Lytechinus pictus: one gene and its partner. The protein of the gene in region 2 interacts with the protein of the main gene of each other region in a pairwise test. Links are inferred from orthologs where the notes say so. Each region holds a gene or a part of one and is shown on either strand. Other genes may lie near its edges.

The links.
Region 1: the proteins of WD repeat and FYVE domain-containing protein 2-like (region 2) and PRA1 family protein 2-like interact in a two-hybrid assay, tested with the Caenorhabditis elegans proteins (2 studies listed by BioGRID). The link is inferred for Lytechinus pictus from reciprocal best matches to the Caenorhabditis elegans genes wdfy-2 and praf-3.

What each region holds. Positions count from the first base shown.
Region 1 is NC_087247.1:8,073,431-8,083,606, forward strand, and holds the start of PRA1 family protein 2-like, read right to left. Parts: upstream 4,415-10,176; 5' UTR 4,264-4,414; coding exon of another isoform or gene 4,250-4,263; 5' UTR 4,039-4,249; coding exon 3,860-4,038; exon of another isoform or gene 3,810-3,859; intron 2,762-3,809; coding exon 2,544-2,761; intron 1,309-2,543; coding exon 1,169-1,308; 3' UTR 1-1,168. Other genes in the region: NEDD8-activating enzyme E1 catalytic subunit-like, read left to right, coding at 4,250-4,263, 4,915-5,029, 10,003-10,083.
Region 2 is NC_087260.1:22,059,962-22,069,420, reverse strand, and holds the start of WD repeat and FYVE domain-containing protein 2-like, read right to left. Parts: upstream 4,641-9,459; 5' UTR 4,438-4,640; coding exon 4,289-4,437; intron 1,716-4,288; coding exon 1,648-1,715; intron 1-1,647. UniProt on the Caenorhabditis elegans protein: Plays a role in coelomocyte endocytosis.

The DNA of each region.
Region 1 (10,176 bases), on a different chromosome or scaffold from region 2:
TGGCAAGTATGCAATTACTATTACTGTCCATATGAGTTGAAGTGAAGAAGGAACACCATGAAAACAATATATATGCACTATTTCTTTCTTTTTACTTTGGCTGTGTCTTTCTTCATACATTTCCCTCTATATTCTTCACCTGACCACCTAATACCATTCACTACATATATCTGTGACCATAAGCATGTTTCCCATTAGACTAAACTACTAAAGATATATCCCATTCTTAGTTAAGTTATAAAATTATAATGAATCCATTATTAGTAGGAATAACAACTACATGTATATGATACTTGTTACAAATAAAAAATAATAATTCCCATTCACAACAAACAGTCCTGACACATTGCATTTATTAATAAGCTTATTTATAGGCTAAACATGTATAAATACTGTTATCATAAATATTAAATTGTAAAGTTCAAAATTTGCAAACTGTATCAAAACTACTTGTCTGGACTCATCAATTGTTTTAATACAAAGAAGTACAGCTTGTATACTTGTCCATGAAATTGATTTTCACAAATATGCAAGGGCAATGTACAAAACCCCGTACAATATTTTGTGAATAACTTGTATTTCAGTTGTGCCACATCTAGCGGGAGATGACATTCTTTGAAAGAACATCCAATTGTGTAATTTTAATAAACCCTGAATAATATATAGTTTTGTTATACTTTGAAATAGTTATCCATAAATACTCTTGGCTTCCGGTAAAAGTGGTTTTTTTTATTACTCAATAACAGTACCAACCTTTTGCCAGAGTCAATGATCTGTAATATATTGATTCTTAATCCAATTTAGGTTTGTAGCTAAACTTTATTTTTCTTGGTTGTTTAGTAACAACATCTTCTTTTGCTTCTTGTGCCAGCTCAACAGGAGCAAGTGATTGTGGACGATTTTGCGAAAGTTTACTTCCAGACGAACGATTTTCAGATGACTTACTTGAAGAAGACTTATTTCTTGATGGGAGAAGGGTCTTCATAATTATTCCTAAAGTCGCCAATGTACGAAATGATTGTTGACGGGGAGTGACTACCTCTCCTTCGTGAGGTACGTGGTACCAGCTTCCCTCTACCTCCTCGCCTCTCTCCAAACGATGCCTGAAGGTGTGCTCGTTGCCTTCAAGCAGTCTCTGGTTGCACAGTTGAAACCCCATTTTCTCTAGTCATGACCTTGCTTGCTCCTCCAGACCAATGGTAAAGAGGATGATGCCCATGGGTGTTCTCTTTAGACCAAGGGACTCCAGCTTCTTGCTCATCTTGTTCTTCATGTTGCGCATCCGCAGGGAGGCGTGGATGAAGATCACTGTAGGAAGACAAAGAAGAATGAAGATTCTGATAATCACACAAAAAAATTGAAACAAATGCAAACCATCATTAAAATCACTCAGGAAGCCATTACCACCAATGATGTGTGCACCCTCAGGGACTTGCTGTATATATTTTTTTCCTTCAGAATTACACATGCGCTCTTACTTTCAAGAAATCTGCAATCATCGTAGTGCTTGATGTAATCCAAAGCTATAGATACCCTATTGATTGGCCTTCATACATGTACTTCCCTCACTGTCTGTAAAGATTACTTTATAAGCACAAAGTCATAGGTTTCCCATTTATGCCATTATATAGAAAAATTCCCATTGAGAAAAATGGCCTTGCCTGAAAATTATTGAAATGTAAAGTCCGAAATGTGAATGACCATTCTGCCTAAAGATCACACACATGACTGTGTACATGTGAATCATAAACAAATGAAAATATTACCGGCAAATTAAAAACCCATTGATTAAAAAAACTATTGGGATTCCTCTTTCAACTTCCTCATGACAATTTGACCTCTTTGAACGGAATTACTCAATATTTCCTGAAAGATAGGAAGTAATGTGTCTGGACACCTAGCCTTCTAATTTAACATTTTTTTGTAGTAGGCCTAAATTCATTGTAACTGTTGCTGTCATAAAACATTTGAGACCCATATGTTCAAACAAAAGGTTTCTGAAATACATGTAGTGTCACAAGAAAATATCTGCAATCAATTGTAAATTTCTATCGATTGTAACTATAGCAAAATTGATGTTTACTTCTTACTGCAAGAAGCAGACGAGCAGGCAAGCATTAATTGCTAGAGTTATGGTTGATATTGGGACCTAAACTTGACTTGCAATTCGGTGGATTCACAATATGGTGTATCACCTATTCTGTTGTGTGCATGCATGCGAAATGCTGCACTGGCTGATGCGGTTTGGCCGGCTTCCATAAAATCATGCAGTGTACCAGGGTCCAGGAGGTGGGAGGGAAATTTACTGCATTTTTATTTGCGAAATTTAGACCGTTTTTTGATGAATTCTTACTCTGCTTCATGCCATATGGTTTTCATTTTTGAAGAATCAGTCACATAACACTGTGCGCTGCCTGCGCCTGCGCGTCATGTCGACCCCGAAGTTAGAAATTGGCCTGTCTGCTGCAACCGATAGATGCCGCACCGTATGGTGAATCCACCGAATTGACTGCAACTTTCTTGCAATGCCCCACGAGTCTTACCAGCTGCTGGTGCAGCCAAGCCCCAGATGAGAACGAGAATACTTCCAAAGAGATACATGAAAAGCCAGATCACCAAGCAGAGTGCAATTAGACAGATCACTGGATGGGCTTTCTTGAAATCGTTTACTTCTCTCTTATTGGCAGACCAGTAACCAAATCCGAAGAATGCTGCGATCACGATGGCTAAGCCCCATAACATCTGAACAGGGTTTATACAGCTGCAGAATATGAAAGGAAATGGCCAACTATATCATTGTATTCATACAATATTGATATATTTGTCTTTATAATTATGGGGGGCAATGTCCTGACATGTTAGTAGATAAAAGCATCATCTTATGCCTTGATTACAACAAAAACTAATGTCAAGCACAAATGTATGTGAAAGTTTGTAATCTGAAATTTTGTCCAAACTTCATTTTATGAAATATTGCTTGCAGAGTGCATGAAATTTTCATATTGCCTACAACTTGTCAGAACATGCATGACTTGGGTATAAATATTTTTACTAAATGCATCAGATTGTCATATAATCAGCAGTAATTTTGCTATTATTTTCATTTTCTTTGTCTTCTCAAACAATAACAATCTTCAAGGCTTAGATCTAAATTCTAATAAAATATTTTTGGGTAGTCTGATGACAACTAGTATCATATTCCATATTCCATTCCTTGTATTACCAAACGCACGAATCATAGGCGTCAGAAAATAATTTCATAAGCTAAAAGCTTTGCAATATCCTTCCAAATGGAACTTGAATAGAAGGATAATGAAAAATGGTCAAAAACACATTTTCTAAGTCTTTATATTCTCAACATCAGTGATTTTGCTGTTTTTTCAACTTTTACATGGAAAACACATGTTCGGTAATTACAATACCATTTTCAAGGGACCAAAAATAATATATTTCACATGCGAAGAGGGGTCCGACTAGTAGCTGATATCGTAAAAAAGAAAAATGATTTCGGCAAAATGTTTACATATTAATATGTCATAGCTCTTTGTGTATTCATGTTAAGAGTATGAGTTTGTTGAATTTTATAAGAATTTTGTGTTTGATATGATTGAATTCATAGTCATACCGGTACACTGATATTTACAGTGTTCGGTATTACGATCCACTCATGCACTATGTGTGAGAGCTTCTTCAACATTTTGTTTAACTTTAATCTGTTTGCTAAAACATCTGGGAAACCAGTCTTTGATTAAATGCTGACACCTGATAAAATAAAAGAAGTGATGACCACGCCCATTCCAAACAACATCATTCATCAATTTTCCAACACAAATAAAGGTGCATGGGGCAACGCACTCACCCAACAATAAGGAAAATGACGATAAGAGTGAGGAAATAATTCGATTGGTAGTACAATAAATTATCTATCACCCGATTGGCCCATCTGGTTGGATTTCCTAGGGCTGGGGCAGAAAATCTGGCCGATTCCTTGATGAAATCATCCAAAGAACGAAGAGGAGGGATTTCAATATCATCCATGATTGCGATGTTGACGTCAAATTTCACGAGCGCCAGCTCCGGCAGCAGTCGGAGAACATTTGCGACTAGTATCTCTGCCAGAACTTGTGGGGGAAACTTCTGCTAATATTCATGTCAAACTCTCCACAAAGGACTTATTTTGATATTTTTGATCATCCAAAATACATTCTATAGCTTCTGAACTTTCGAATAGTATCTACAATTTGTAAAAATGGCGGAAGAACCGTACGTATTTGTCAATTATGTTGGGGTTGTGCTTTTGTTGAGTTGTACAGTCCCATATGTTTATAATTGTGATGTAGGTCCAGAGTATGATACTGGCGGACGCGATTGAATGTGAGTGACTGCGGCTTTCTTGCAGGGGCCCCGATTCTCTACTTGGCGCTAATGCAGCTTCGCACCGGCCGACTTTGAGATAATTTCCCCACCAGTAATTGTTCACAAATATCATAGCAAGTCTCAAATCAAGATCAATAATGCTTTTCCGAATTTCGCGATTGGGTTTTTGGAATTGCTGTCCGCTTCGCTTAGATCTCTATGTTGTCATTCAAATTTTCATGCAGACAGCGCTTCTCTTGGATTCACTGTAATGCAGATATGGACTGAAGTTAGCAAAGTACGACAGCTCGCCCTTACGTTTGCAGTATGTTCGCATGATTTTGGTAACTTGCGAAGTAACTTCATCGCGTTTCATGCTTTTGTCACTTTTGAAAGTTGTTGAAGCAAGAACTTCTTTTAGAAAATCAGGGCAGTTGAACTCAGGTTCAAATAAGTGTTTAGTTTCCAAAAACAGGAATGTCCAATTCTTTAAAAAGTAAATCAGTTATGTATAAAGCAACCCTGAGTGAATTTATCATATTTCTTACCTTTTTCCAGGATGACAGTGGACAGTCCAGAAACAGCAGACTGGTCAGGACGATGGACACACATCAGAAAACTATTGGAAAGATCAGGACCTTTGGCTACTCCAGAATTTGAGCCAAGTTCAGAGGTAGGCTCTATATCTTTCAAAATTTAAGCTTTTAAAGGTTGAATTTTTATTGAATTATAATGCCTCATCTTTTATTATGTTTAATCATCTCAAAAATACCTGCTTGGTATGCAGACCACTCACCAGCACATAGTGATATGTACAAGATCTTGTACAGACGTACAAGATCATCAATGGCATTGATGATTTGAACAAGGAGATGTTCTTTACATCTGCATCAACTCAGACAACACGTGGACATCTATGCAAATTGTATGTGAAGAGAAGCAGACTGGATGTTAGAAAAAATACTTTCAGTGCCAGAGTTGTAAATGACTGGAACTCCTTGCCGGCAGAGATAGTTACTACATCAACGTTGAACAGATTCAAGTCACAGTTAGACAAGTTTTGGTCTGCAGTGCAATATACTCACCCTTGGGAATAGTAACTCTGGCACAGCACACAGGCACACGTTATTTTAATAGTTAGATGGAGATAGCAACAGTGATAGACCTGGAAACACGACTGCATAAGTAATTGCATTTTTCCAGTAGATCCGGTAATAAAGGTAATAAAGGTAATAAAATGACTATGTATTGATTCAATTTTTTTTTCTATTTTATATGATTAGTTAACCCTCATTTCAGCAATTTTTGACAAAGCTAAGGGGGAAAAATGTCAGTAAAATAGGGTATGAGGCATCAGAAAATATCACACAAACATATTTTTTTATGGACCAGTTATATACTTTGTCATTTTTAATGAAATTGAGAATGAAATTTAAATAGTAATAATGATATATATTGAATTTTGATAAAATTAAAGAAATATCACAGAGTGAGATTTTCTTGTGGACCAATCATTACTTAAAAATTGGAATTAAATTTAAATGCAATTTGTTAATCATTTGCATGAAATTTAAATTAACATCAAAGAAAAGCTACAGAAACAGACTTTTTGTAAAACCAACCAATTTAACTGAAATTTAGATGAAATGTAAATAATGATAATGATTCAGATAAAATTGAACAAATGTCACAAAGACCTGTAGGAGATTTCTGTGGAACAATTATTAATCACTAAATATCACTTAATCACAAAGAAGGTATATAATAATATCCAAGTCCTTTGGAAGCACATTTAGACGTTATTCATAATGTATTATGCGCTATACAAGAACTGACTATTATTATTATTAAAGTATACATCCAAAGAAAATTCACGAAAGTGATGATTATAGACAAATTATATATGAATGGAAAGGTCTTGTCTTTTTATACACAAATATGTCACTAAAAAGTCTTATTGATGTCGTGGAAATGCAAGATATGAAATTATTAGAGACCCTTCTCAGCCCCCCAGCCGCCCCCAGACACACACTAACGCGATTAAATACAGTCGAGAATAATGACGTCACATGATGATCGACTCACTCAGCCGCTCTCTAGCTCTGTTCAAGCCAGCAGTACACTGATAGCTGATTCACCTTCCTGGTCTCTATTTTTCTTCGAATTTACCGTTTTCTTCATGTATTGTGATATCCGAATTCTGTTTTCGACAACTTCAGACTATAAGGGAACCAGAACTGTGTTATTTTGCCCGGTTTTTATTGAATTGTGAACTGGAAAGATTGATTTTGTCCACTCGACAGTCTTCGTTGTGTTGCTCTACTAACTATTGAAAAACTCCAAGCTGCACGGTCCCATTCACTTGCTCCCGATGCATGTTGCAGGTTACGCTGTTTGATCCAGTCAAAAGTCAAGGTAAGCATGTTTGGAAACTGTACTTGTTCTGACGATGCATTCAGGTCAGATGACAGATACAGATCTGATATAAGTTTAGAATCATGCATTTTGGCGTATACTATTAAAATTAAAAAGTCTTTATTTTAGAAATAATGTTTTTGCACAATTCCAGCAGATTTTTTCTTCAGATTTCTAAAACTGGTCAGGACTCAGGCAGGCGATTAAATTATTTAGGAGCACTGGTATGGACCATGGCTGAAAATCTGCTGTTTCAGAGGAATGTTTAAGTTTTTATTATACACAGAAATATATCACCATGATGCCGATGTCTTGAAGCCAGACAAATTTTCAGCAGTGATTACCCTGATTCCTGGCCAAAATCACTCACACGTATTGCGAGGTTAGTATTAGTATACTAACCTCGCACCACGAACCGCGTTTGGCAGTGGATTTCTAACTAGTGGGTCGCGCGTGCTGGGATCTCACTTCTTGGGTCCACAACACACGACTTCTATGGCTTGAATTTTCTTTGCGCGGCGGCATGTAATGAACCCTTGGGTGCCGGCCAAAATTAGACTTTTAGAGTCTGGTGTTTCTTTCTGATAAGAGTGTTGCTGCATATATGCATGCGTAATGCCTTCAACAATGAAGATAAATGCAATCTTTGTAATGACACAGAGACTCAGAGAGCACCGTACCTCAAGTGATGTTCGTGTAGTCTCCACTTCACTACTGCTACAGCCTACACTACGCTACACACCTACCCGGGTAGGTGTGGCGTACATGTACGGTAGTGTAGCGGTAGTGAAGTGGAGTGGGGCCTGCACAAACATCACTTGAGGTAGAGCACCAGTGTTCTGAGTGGAACTTTTCAGGTGTCTTAACCTACTATCATTTGTTGTTGACCGGGAATTACATGCCACCGCACGTCATCAATCATCACGATAATTAAATTCATACTTTGATTTGATTATTTAAACTATTTCTTTTTTTCTCTCTTCTACACACAGATCTGCACAATTGCTGACTCTGGTGACTTCTGGTCTCTGCTTGCTACCTCAATCTGGGAGATTCCATCATGTCCTTTTACTATGATTTGGATATAGCCATTTTTTTCTTCACTCTTTCCAGGACCTACGGTTTGCAAGTTGTGGACTGATAATGATACAAAAGAAAAATTTTCTTTATCAATCTTGGAAACAATTTTGAGCACAGTTTTGGAGAGAACTAAGAAATTTGACTTGGACAGGAATACAGCTTGTCAAAAATAATAACACACAACTTTAAACGAAAGAACAATTTTAATGTTACTAGGGCATTTTGCGAGAAATGTTATACTCAATCACACGTCCCAAATCAAGGGTAAGTCCTTTGATTAAACATGTAGTTGAATTGCGATTGCAACTCGACCTTATTACGCTTGAATTTGAATTTAAGACTTACGCTTGATTTGCAATTGAACATAAGTTTCTTGCAGTGCCCCATAATTATGTTTTGTTATCAGATATTTAACGTGCTGATTTTTCTCGAAAGGTATAATATATTTGTCCTTTTAAACGGTATTTGAATATGGGTACGCCTTTTATTTGTTTTCCACAATATTTATTGCATGTATGAACAGAAGTGAAATATTTATTGTGAAGCACTGTGAATGTTGTGTGCTGTTGTGTGATGGTTCATCATTTTTGTTATAAGACTGAAAGCCTGGTGGATGTGAGGAAGTGGCCTGGATGAAAGAAAAGTGAACATGTGTCCAATTACTGATTTGCATATTCTAAGACAATTTTGTTTCTGGATAAATTTTGCTATGCATTCCCTACATTAAGAGTAAAGGAGAAGTCCACGCAATCAAAAATTCATTTGAATTTAAAGAAAAATAACAAGATATTGCAGGAAATTTCATAAAAACTTTGATTCAAATTTATATAATCACTATTTTAACAGTTCCGTAAATATAACCTATTGTGATCAGATGAAGAGTTTCCTATCGTCAAATCTGCAAAGAATAAAAAACAAAATGCCACAAAAAATAGAAACGAATGTGATGTGAGTGACAACTCTAATTTGCATATCATTGTTTTGTGTATATGACTGTTTTGAGTAAAAACAACAAGGGAAATTACTCTATTCAAATAATTTTTAGTTGATGTGGACTTGACTTTTAACTCTACCCCTCCCATCCCAAATAAGAGTAGAAATAATCTAATCAAGAACTTGAAAATCAAAAGCAGCAATTAAGAAGCAAGATTTGATAAATACAGGTCTGAATAGAATTTCACAAGAAAATAAAAAGAGAAAAAAAGATGGGTAGGGACGGGGAAGGAATTTAAAAAAAATGCCCAGAAAAAAAAATCCGAGTTTCGAACCAGGGTCCTCGCACATGACAAAACATTGGCCAACGCATTTGGCCACAGACCATTGCCTTACCGGAGAGGCATTTTTAAGATATATGAAATAAAGTCCGCTCGCCGCTGTTGCCTAATAATGCTTCGGCAATTCAACTGCAATTTCAGTCATTTCGCGATGGATATTGCCGTGTTTTTTTTGTGGTTCCTGACTTTGCTACTTAATGAAATTTCATAATTTTTGTTCAGTCATAAAGAAGAATGTCTATGCTTTATATTGTTTATAATATTAATGTGACGCAAGTGTGATTTCTACGTGAAAATATGCTTTGTTTATTCACATATATTTCTTGAAAAAAAAAAAATTCTAAGCTAAATATCGGTTACCAAAATACATTAAATGTGCACTTTTTTTCACTGTTCAGTAAATTCAAACTTTTATCTATATAACAAGACCAATATTAAGAGCAATAAACAATTCTAAGAGCAAAAAACGCTGATTGGAAAGATCGTCTCCAATGGGCTGCTGTCAGCTCAGCTGCTCTGCTCATTGTGTGACGTCACTCAGCTGGAGCTCGCAAGAGGACCGGTGGAAGGCAGAAATATGGCATGAAAATAAATCATTTTTGAGAGCTGATTTCTGCAAACTCTGATCACTATTTTGAAAAGTGAAGTTATATATCTGATTAGTAATACTTCCCCTTTACAATGATGACCACATAAAGTCATTATAAAATACTTTTGATTCTTCGGATGTATACTTTAATCTTTGTACAAGTGGAGAAAGTTTTTGACATATATTGCATATTATCAATATTTTATTTGCCCTGAAAAAAAAGAAACTGAATCAAACCTGTCTGTACCGAGTGTATCTTCTCATTTCTGTTATATTCTTTCCTAATAGCTTCTTGGTATCATGTTGGAGCATCTGAAAGTCTTGGTGATTGGGGCTGGAGGTCTTGGTTGCGAGATTCTTAAAGATTTGGTAAGATTCCCAATTGCATTTTTATTATCATTCTTTTGAGAAATTAGCACTGGGATTATTGAATAAAAGACACAACTTGATGTCACTCCATTT
Region 2 (9,459 bases):
CAATTATTCAGTGATTTCATTGACAAATTCGTTCTGAGCCAACCAGATGTAAGGACAATGGCACATGTTTCTTACAACTATAGCCAGTGAAAATGGTTTATTTTCAATTCGTCTAATGCCAATTTGTCCAATTGCCAACTCTTCTACTATCATTTGGTCTACCATCAGTTCGTCCACTATCCACATGGTCTAATAGCTGATTCATCCACTCACCATTTCATCTAATAACCAGTTGGTCCAATAGCAATTTAGTCCATATATCATTTGGTCTAATTGGACTAATAAGTGTTAATTGTGCAAAATGAATGAAAATAAAATGGATATTAGACCAACTGGTTATAAGAACAAGTGGAACGCCTCTGGCAGTCTCGCCTGCATTACGCAATTTAATATAGTAGCAGTGCTAACTTTGAAAACTACTATAAAATAATCATTCATATAATGACATAATACCACGTTCATTGACCATAAATGACATTTGAACGGAGACTTAAGACTGTCAACTACACCCATGTCCACATTTCATTCACTCTATCCATAAACTTTCAAAGTTATGATGGCACTTCAACAATTACCCCAACATGGCCTAAGTTTATTGACCTTAACTGACCTTTGACTTGGTTTTGTGACCTGAAACTCACAGGGGATGTTCAGTGATACTTGGTTACTCTTATGTCCAAGTTTTATGAACTAGATCCATAAACTTTCATAGTTAGGATAGTAATTTAACATATACCCCCAACACGGCCAAAGTTAATTGACCTTAAATGACCATTGACCATGGTCATGTGAACTGAAACTCGCACAGAATATTCAGTGGTACTTGATTAACCTAATGTCCAAGTTTCATGAACTAAATCCATAAATTTTCAAAGTTATGATGGTAATTCAAAGAATACCCCCAACTTGGCCAAAGTTCATTGACCCTAAATGACCTTTGACCTTGGTCATGTGACCTGAAACTCAGGCAGGATGTACAGTAATACTTAATTAACCTTATGCCCAAGTTTCATGAACTAGGTCCATATACTTTCTAAGTTATGATGTCATTTCAAAAACTTAACCTTCGGTTAAGATTTTGAAAATAATTTTCCCAACAAGGTCTAAGTTCATTGACCCTAAATGACCTTTGACCTTGGTCATGTGACCTGAAACTCAGGCAGGATGTTTAGTAATACTTGATTAACCTTATGTCCAAGTTTCATGAACTAGGTCCATATACTTTCTAAGTTATGTAGTCATTTCAAAAACTTAACCTTAGGTTAAGATTTGATGTTGACGCCGCCGCCGCCGTCGGAAAAGCGGCGCCTATAGTCTCGCTCTGCTATGCAGGCGAGACAAAAATGGTGATTAGACGAAGTGATGATTGGACCAAATGATTATTGGACCAAATGGTTGTTAGAAAAAATATTGATGGATGGAATGGCATTAGACTACATGAAGGGAGACAATGTAAATTTAATGAGTGGACGAGTTGGCAATAGACGAATTGGCAATTTACCGTGAAAATCTTTGTTTCATGAAATGCTTGACCTTGCCCTGAAAATATGTGCAGATAATGAAGAATAAACAAAAATTTAACAGAGAATTTGATATATCATGCCAAAAAAAATTGAACTAAAAATATTGATTCTCCTATAATCTTACTTGAGAGTGAATGACAGATGCTAGGCCAGTACATTCCTGAATCTCTTTTTAGCCATACCCGAACAGTCCTGCAAGTGTCAAAGAAAAGAGAAATAAAATCTAAATGGTTGATAAATTTCTTGCAACAGACAAGATTGAACACAACCATGACTATAAAACCCACCATGACATTGGTCTAAACGTCTTTTGGTTAAAACTATCACTTGGTCTAATACTCACTTTACATGCAAGAATCCGTCATTTAGTCAAATAGGCAGATGATCTAATTTCCACTTCCTCCACTTAAATAACATACTTTGTCAAATGAAAATTTGGTTCATAAACCGTTAATTCATCCCATCTTGTGATCTGTGTTTCTTGTTTTCCTTTAAGAATGGACACATCATCTCGGACACATAAAAAAAAAAACAAGTATATAGCTGTAGGACCCCTTCCAAAACAAGCACCTATGACAACTTACATATGGTTTAATAAAAGGGAGAGGCTGGTATACAGTCAGGAAGTATTTCGATATGATTTGTTGCTTTTGTGACCATTGTGATTTTTTGTTATATTTTTTTCTATCATAATGAAAACAGCATAAAACATCATTACAAGTTTAAGCTTTTATTTTCAAGCCATTCACTTCAGTTCGGATCATTTGAATATGGCTTGTGCAATTTATCAGGTTTATTGCGTCTGGTCGGGAATTTGTGTAACCTTAAAAAATACAAGAAAAGGGCCCCCTAAATTCCTGAAACTTAAGGTCCATTTTACCCAACCCTTTGCAGGGGCCGCGGAACGGTTTTCAAAGTGGGGGGGGGCTGAGCCAAAAGTGGGGGGGCTGACCATGCTAAAAATCACAATCATATGGTCATTTTTACATTTTTGTACACGGTTTTGGAAAAAAGTGGGGGGGCTTCAGCCCCCCCAGCCCCCCCGGTTCCGCGGCCCCTGCTTTGTATATTTAAGCTATAATTTTCACAAAACATTGGGTAAATTGGACCAGACCTCTTGAGAATTTAGGGATTTTGTTTCTCGTAAGGTCAGTTACCATGTTAACCTGACATTTCAGGAAATTACCCACTGGGCATTTTACCTGACATTACCCGGGTTGTAACAGGTAATAACATGGATATTACTACGGTAACAACAGTGGGTAATAACAGGGAAATAGTAGACCAATCCTTCGCTTTTATTACCTGGACCTGATATTACTCCATTTACCCAATATTTCTCAGTATGATGTAACTACTATTTCCAGCATTTTAATGATATCACCACCTCATATTACTCTGTTTACCCAATATTACCCAATTAATGTCGGCTCATTAAAAAAACAATTAGTGTCATTAGGGTCATTGAAGCACATTTTTACAACTCCATACTCTAAGCCATATCATCTTATCCTATCCTAAAATCCTACATCCTAATCCTAATCCTATCCTACACCTATCCACCAAACCCTGTCATTTACTTCTGTATATTGAGCGAGTTTACAACACTTGACAAATTATGGTTAACAATTATTCAACCCTAAAACATTTTTCTAAAATTAATGTCATGATTATGACTAATATGATATATAAACTACACATTTTTCTGAAAATTTTCTGGGTGGAATAATTGCATAAACATAAACACATTAATTATTACAGCTATATTAGCTAAAATTTTGGCCATTTATTGTAGTAATGAATATTCATGAGTAACTAATATTCCCAGCATTTTCCTGATATTACCATCTGATATTACTCCATTTACCCAATATTACTGGGTTCCGCATGGGTTGGAGGTCTCGTTTCCATCTGAGTCCTATCTGGGCACCATGTGGGTTCAAGTATATGTTTTCATCTGGGTTCCATGTGGGCCCATATGGGACCCAGATATCCCAGATAAGAACCGTATGTGATCCAGATACTTTGCTGTCTGGGAATGGAAGCGTTTCAACATTACCCATTACCCCTTATCAACCTGTTTGTAACTGGGTAAAATGTTGGTTTCATCAGGGTGATAACAGTAATTTTTTGGACTTTGAAAATTTCACTGGGATTGCTGTAAGATTGCTCTTATTACTAAAGTCTGCAATGTTATAACCATGCAATCAAAGTCATTCAACATTACCCTTATTACCCCTCATCACCCTGTTGTAACTAGGTAAATGTAGGTTTCATCAGGGTGATAACAGTAACAGGTATCAACAGGAATTATAATTTCGGTAATAACATGGTAATAACGGTAATATTTGGTGTTACTCAAATTTCCGGGTGATATTACCGGTAATAACCGGTAAAATTGGTAATCGGTAACAAATTGCCCAGTGGGTAGGACCTTTTCTCGATTGGTTGGGTTACATGATTACCCCATCATGTGATTGCACAAGCCTTTGAATACAAAGTGTGTGTCTTTGACCCTAACTCCACCATCACTCAGAGCCAGTCATCACAATGTTTTGTTGTTGTTTTTAATCTCTCTTTCCCTGACAAATCATCAGACAAATGTCATGAAAAAATTGAAACTAAGTTATAGAAAGTAACAGTAACACTAAGTTTAAAATGCTCCATATTAAAAAAACGATACCCTCCATTCCCCCTTCATTTTCTTAAACCAATTAGTCTCAATAAAGAAAATTCTTTCAGACCTTCAACTTCAAGAATCTTACCTATCTTCGCTCACACTAATCACTCCATCTTCTTTGGGGATAATCACAACACTGTTCACCTTTCCGCTGCAACCTTCCAATTTGTTCATTAAAACCGGTTTCCTGTTTTTCAGTCTGCTCGGCCGTTCATCGGCTGCCATCGTGCTCATTCAAATGCAGAATAAGTTACAAGATGAAACGTACTCTGAAATCATTGATTTCAGCTTCGAAATCGTTTAAAAGTTGCATTTAAATAAGGCAGAGTCAAACGAATGCAAATACATTCATGACCATACGCGATACTTTGGTGCACAACATAACACAAAGCGATATACTGTGCATTGTGCAAATGGTATACAGCTCATATGACAATGACGTCATTTGAAAACAAAAAGTTCAAAGGTTGTACGAGACAGAGGAGAGTGCAAGATGGTACTGTCAGTGCATTCATTTTTAATGGTACTCTAATGAAACAGAAGATAAAGAAACACGAATTCAATTAAACCACAATAATTACCTATCCCGTTATACCCTGTAGCTATTCATGTCTGGTGCCTGGGTCTGGTGGGGCGTGAGCCCCCACAATATCCCGGACAATATCCTGGGGATATGCTGGGGGCTTAAAACTTATCTTTTGCATGTGCTTGTCAAATGTATATCTGGCTACCAAACTAAATTCATTTCGAAGCGATTGCCTTCCCCCCTTCTTTTGCTTGCAAACGTGGGTCTCTTTTCCTTTTGGAAGAAAATATTTAATTAATATAGGCCTATACCCTTTTCTGTCACAATAATAATCAATATCCTTTAAATGGGTATGGCTTTCAAATCTTCCCCCCCCCCCCCGACCATCCCCACTCCTCTCAGACTCTCTCAAGTGGTTTCCCTTTTGCCAAAACTGAAGAATGTTTTGGAATTTGATCCTAATTTCGTGAAAGAGCACAAAAGGGATTTTTTTTAAATTTAATAGGCCTATATGAAAATCTTATAAGGGAGATAATGCACTTCAGTGCAAGGGAACCCAGTCAGATTGCCTTATATATTAGGGTTACTGATTAAATAAAAAATAAAAAGGGATGATGAAATTTGGTCCACCCTAGCTCCCCTCCACTGACAAGAAAACGAATGAATAACGATAAGATAAATCAACCTGTAATAATCTCTCCTGCAAGAATTGGGCCAGAATAATTTTGGGGTTAGTTTAAGACGCCCCGCAAAGGTGTCATTTAATTCATTTTTCTCGATTGAATAGAGAAACATGGCATATAAAAATTTCATTTAGGCCTAATTTTCATCCATCTTCTTCACTTTCCTTCCGGCTTCCCCTTTTTTTATTGAAAAAGCATAGGGGCGACATAGGGGCGATCATCCCCGCCCCCCTTCCGATCATCGGCCCTGCCTCTGTATCCAATAGTGGCCCGTTTCATAAGACTTAATGATTGCACAATTTCTATAACAAGTTTACCATCAGCCAATCAAATCGATTTTAATTGCTTTTTTACCAAATTGTCATTATAACAAGTTTTATGAAACAGAACCCGTTTTCATGAAAAATTAGAAGAAGATCGAGGAGCGTCTATTTGCTGGTTGTTTCTGCCATGTCTACAGATACTATCTACTCTAGTATACAGAGATTATTAATTAATTCAACCTGAGGCGATCGAAAGTCATGGTCTCATATGCCCTATAGGTTGGCCCCAATGCCCCCCCCTTCCCATTATGACCGACCTTGTATTTGTTGTGACCATGCTGTAATATGAAATTGTGCCCATTTTGAAAAGTGACTTTGACATAAACATATCGAAAATCCTGTGTAAAAACAAAAATTAGCATGATTGTTTTTCTAAAGTGAGCAACGTCAGATCATGTCTGAATAAATCTTGGTTTAACAGATTGGCTGAAAGACTGGTATCTCCCCATACAGTAAAATCTTTAGTCATATTATAAAATGAAAATATAGAGGGAGATGGAGTCGAGAAAGTTGTTAGTCTGGGAGTCGGGGTGGGGGTGGGAGCCTGCATGGGGTGGATCCCCTAAGGTCTTTGGGTGGATCACAGACTGCGTGCCGCAGCTAGTCTGCTCTGCAAAACCCTCACTTGAGTTAAGTGTCTGAATGTGAAGCCTATAAAGCCTCGTGTACTGAACGTCCTCTCACTAAAGTTTTAATATGAGCTAGTCTTTTATTTGCGTGTGAATACCAATATACCATGATGAAAAAAGTTTCAATCAGGGTCTGTGCCTGCAGACTATGCCGCATCCAGGAGGAGGAGAGGGGGGCAATCGGGGGGAATGGTGCGATGGGTTGGTCCCTCCTACGGTGGCGATTTTTATATACAGATGCATACAAATTTTATTTTCTTTCACACTTAAATGCAAAGCTAAAATAAATGGCTTATCCAGACAAGATAATATGGATATTAGGTATCAGCTTCCTAGAAAATAATATAAGCGAGGGAGCAAGTGAATATGTTGACTTCAATGTGCGGTATGTAAAGGCATTGAAGTGAAGAAACGACTGTTGTGCATTTTGGACCCAACAACACAGTTTAGGCAAAAAAGCCTGCATTTGTGAGAGGACCCGCCATGCAGCGACCGCGAGAAAATTGGTTATTTTTACCAGTGAATATTAACGCGTTTTGAACTGAATATAACACGGTATCAGCGCCCTGATGACTGAGGTGAAGGGCGCTTTAAAAAAAAAACAAATTGTTCATGATTATTTCAAGCACAAAGAGAGTACAAAACAAACATGAAAAAGAAAACTTGTCAATATACTCGGTTGATTAAGAATAAAAGCAAAGATTGAAAATATATATGTGATGATTAGTTAAAGGGAATCAAAATTACTATAAAGCTACTCTTATTGGATAAATACATTTTTTTAAAGAAGAAGAAGAAATACGAGACGTGTCAGAGAAGCAGATAGGTGAAGTCAAAACAAAGTCGGACAACCAGTTATAGGTTGCAAAAACTTTGTCAGTGTATGGTGATTTTAAATGGGTCAGAATAGGTTTTCTTGTTTATGGTGATTTTAAATCGGTCTGTATAGGTTATGTTGTTCATGGTAATTTTAAATCGGTCAGTATATAGTTATGTTTTTTTTTAATATCATGATTATATAAGGTATTACTCTGTTTTATCTAAATCCTCCAATAAGCCTATATACGCAAATTGACGACAAAATATATGTGTGCACGTTTTTTTTTTCAAATATGTTTTACTCACTAATGAAATTAAGAATCCCCTTTTTAAATAACCCTATATTAACACTTTCTTCCTCTCCATCTCCCAGCCCCCTCTTGACCCATCCCCCTTCTCTCGATCTCTCCCCCTCCCCTCCGACTCCCTCTCTCCCCCCCCCCTCTCTCCCCCTCTCCCAATTCTCAGCTCTTTCTTCGTTTCTCCTCTAACCTCTCTCTCCCTCTCTCTCCCACTTCTCAGCTCTTTCTTCTCTCTCTCTCTCCAGGGTATCTCTCCCATCCAGTGCTTCCACTTGCAAGGAAATTTCCTTGTTTTAGAGAATTTTAAGGATCTTTTGACTCCACAAGGATTTTTAAAAGGAATTTTGACTATTCAAGGAATTACAAGGAAAAATGAAAAAAGTCAAGGAATATTTAGGAATGTTTAAGGAAATCCAAGGAAATCTGAGAATTCAAGGAAATTGATTGAATTTCGAGGAAAATAAAGAAAAAAAATAATGATGAATCTTAAAAATGTTTCATTTCTCACACAATAAACGACTGGATGTCAGACTACTAAATCCACATTTATTTAAATTTTCTTATATGCTGGCTGATGTGCTATACTTTCTTTTTCCTTGGCATGCTGAGACATGTATTTTATCTGCGCACAGTGATAACTATAGCTCTGGACTAAGCTATTGTGAGTTGTGTGCACTGCACACAACTCACAATAGAGTCCATAGTGGCGTAACTACGGGGGGCAAAAAAAAATAACGGAGGAAAATCATTTGGTTAATGAAATACGTATAATGGTCTTATTGAATTACTACAAACAAGCCTTAGAATGCCCCTCTTCAGGTCTGAATTTCAAAAATTTTCAGCTCGCGCTTCGCGCTCGCAATAGTTGAGTAGTCAGATATGTATCATGTTCATGATTACAATGACTGCAAAATGTGTTTCATGGGTAAGCTGTAATTCTAACAAAATCAGCAAGCGCTTGCATGGCGCTCGCATTAGATGACTATGGTGAGATATATATGCTCTTTATAAATTCCCTTAAACAGTCCTTAAAATGTCCCTGTTTCGGGCCAATATACAAAAATTTCAGCTCGCGCTTCGCGCTCGCATTGTTTGTTTAGATACGTATCATGATTACAAAACTTTGCTCATGATAGCCTTTCTTAGGTCTGAATATAAAAAAAAATCAGCTCGCGCTTCGCGCTCGCATTATTTGATAAGTGAGATACATAACCGTTTAATGACACCGTCCTTAAAATATCTCTATTAGGTTATATAATTATGTGGCAATTGAGCGCACTTCGCGCGCCCACTAAGTGACTCAACATTTTTGCTGGTGCCCCCCCCCCCAATGCCATGACCCACGGCGCGCCACTGACTACCATACTGTGCATAAAGACGTTTCTGTTAGTTCTGTTTCTTTACTTTCTTCTCTGTGCCTGAACATTCAGCAACTATTATTAGGCTTAGCATTTGATCTGTTAATACATGTATGCAACATTCTACATGATCAGTGAAAAACTAGGCTTGTAAAGCAAAAATATAGACAGGTTTTCTCCAGACTCTAATTCAAGGAATTTTGTCAAAATTTAAGGAAATTTTGGAGCTCAAATAAGCCGAATTCCAGTTTTAAGTTGTGGAAGCACTGCTCCCATCTCTCCCCTTCTTCCTATCTCAGTGTTACCTATATTTCTGCCTGTCTTTCCCGCATCAGTAAATTTTGCAAAATAAAACACTCAAAACTTTCTATGACTTTTCTTCATCCACTCTGGGGCAAGATCCAAAACACTATAGGCCTTCAGCACTCCCAACAATTCAGCACATCAACTACTTAGTATTTTGACGGACGGACAAGAAATGGTACCCCGCGCGGAATAGTTAAATGCCTTCCTCTTTGTGGCTCAGCTCGTCACCCATCTCAAAAGACGTCTCCTCCAGTTAAGACACCGGGATTAGAAGTTTCACTCTCTCGGCATCCTTCCTTGGCCGACGGGA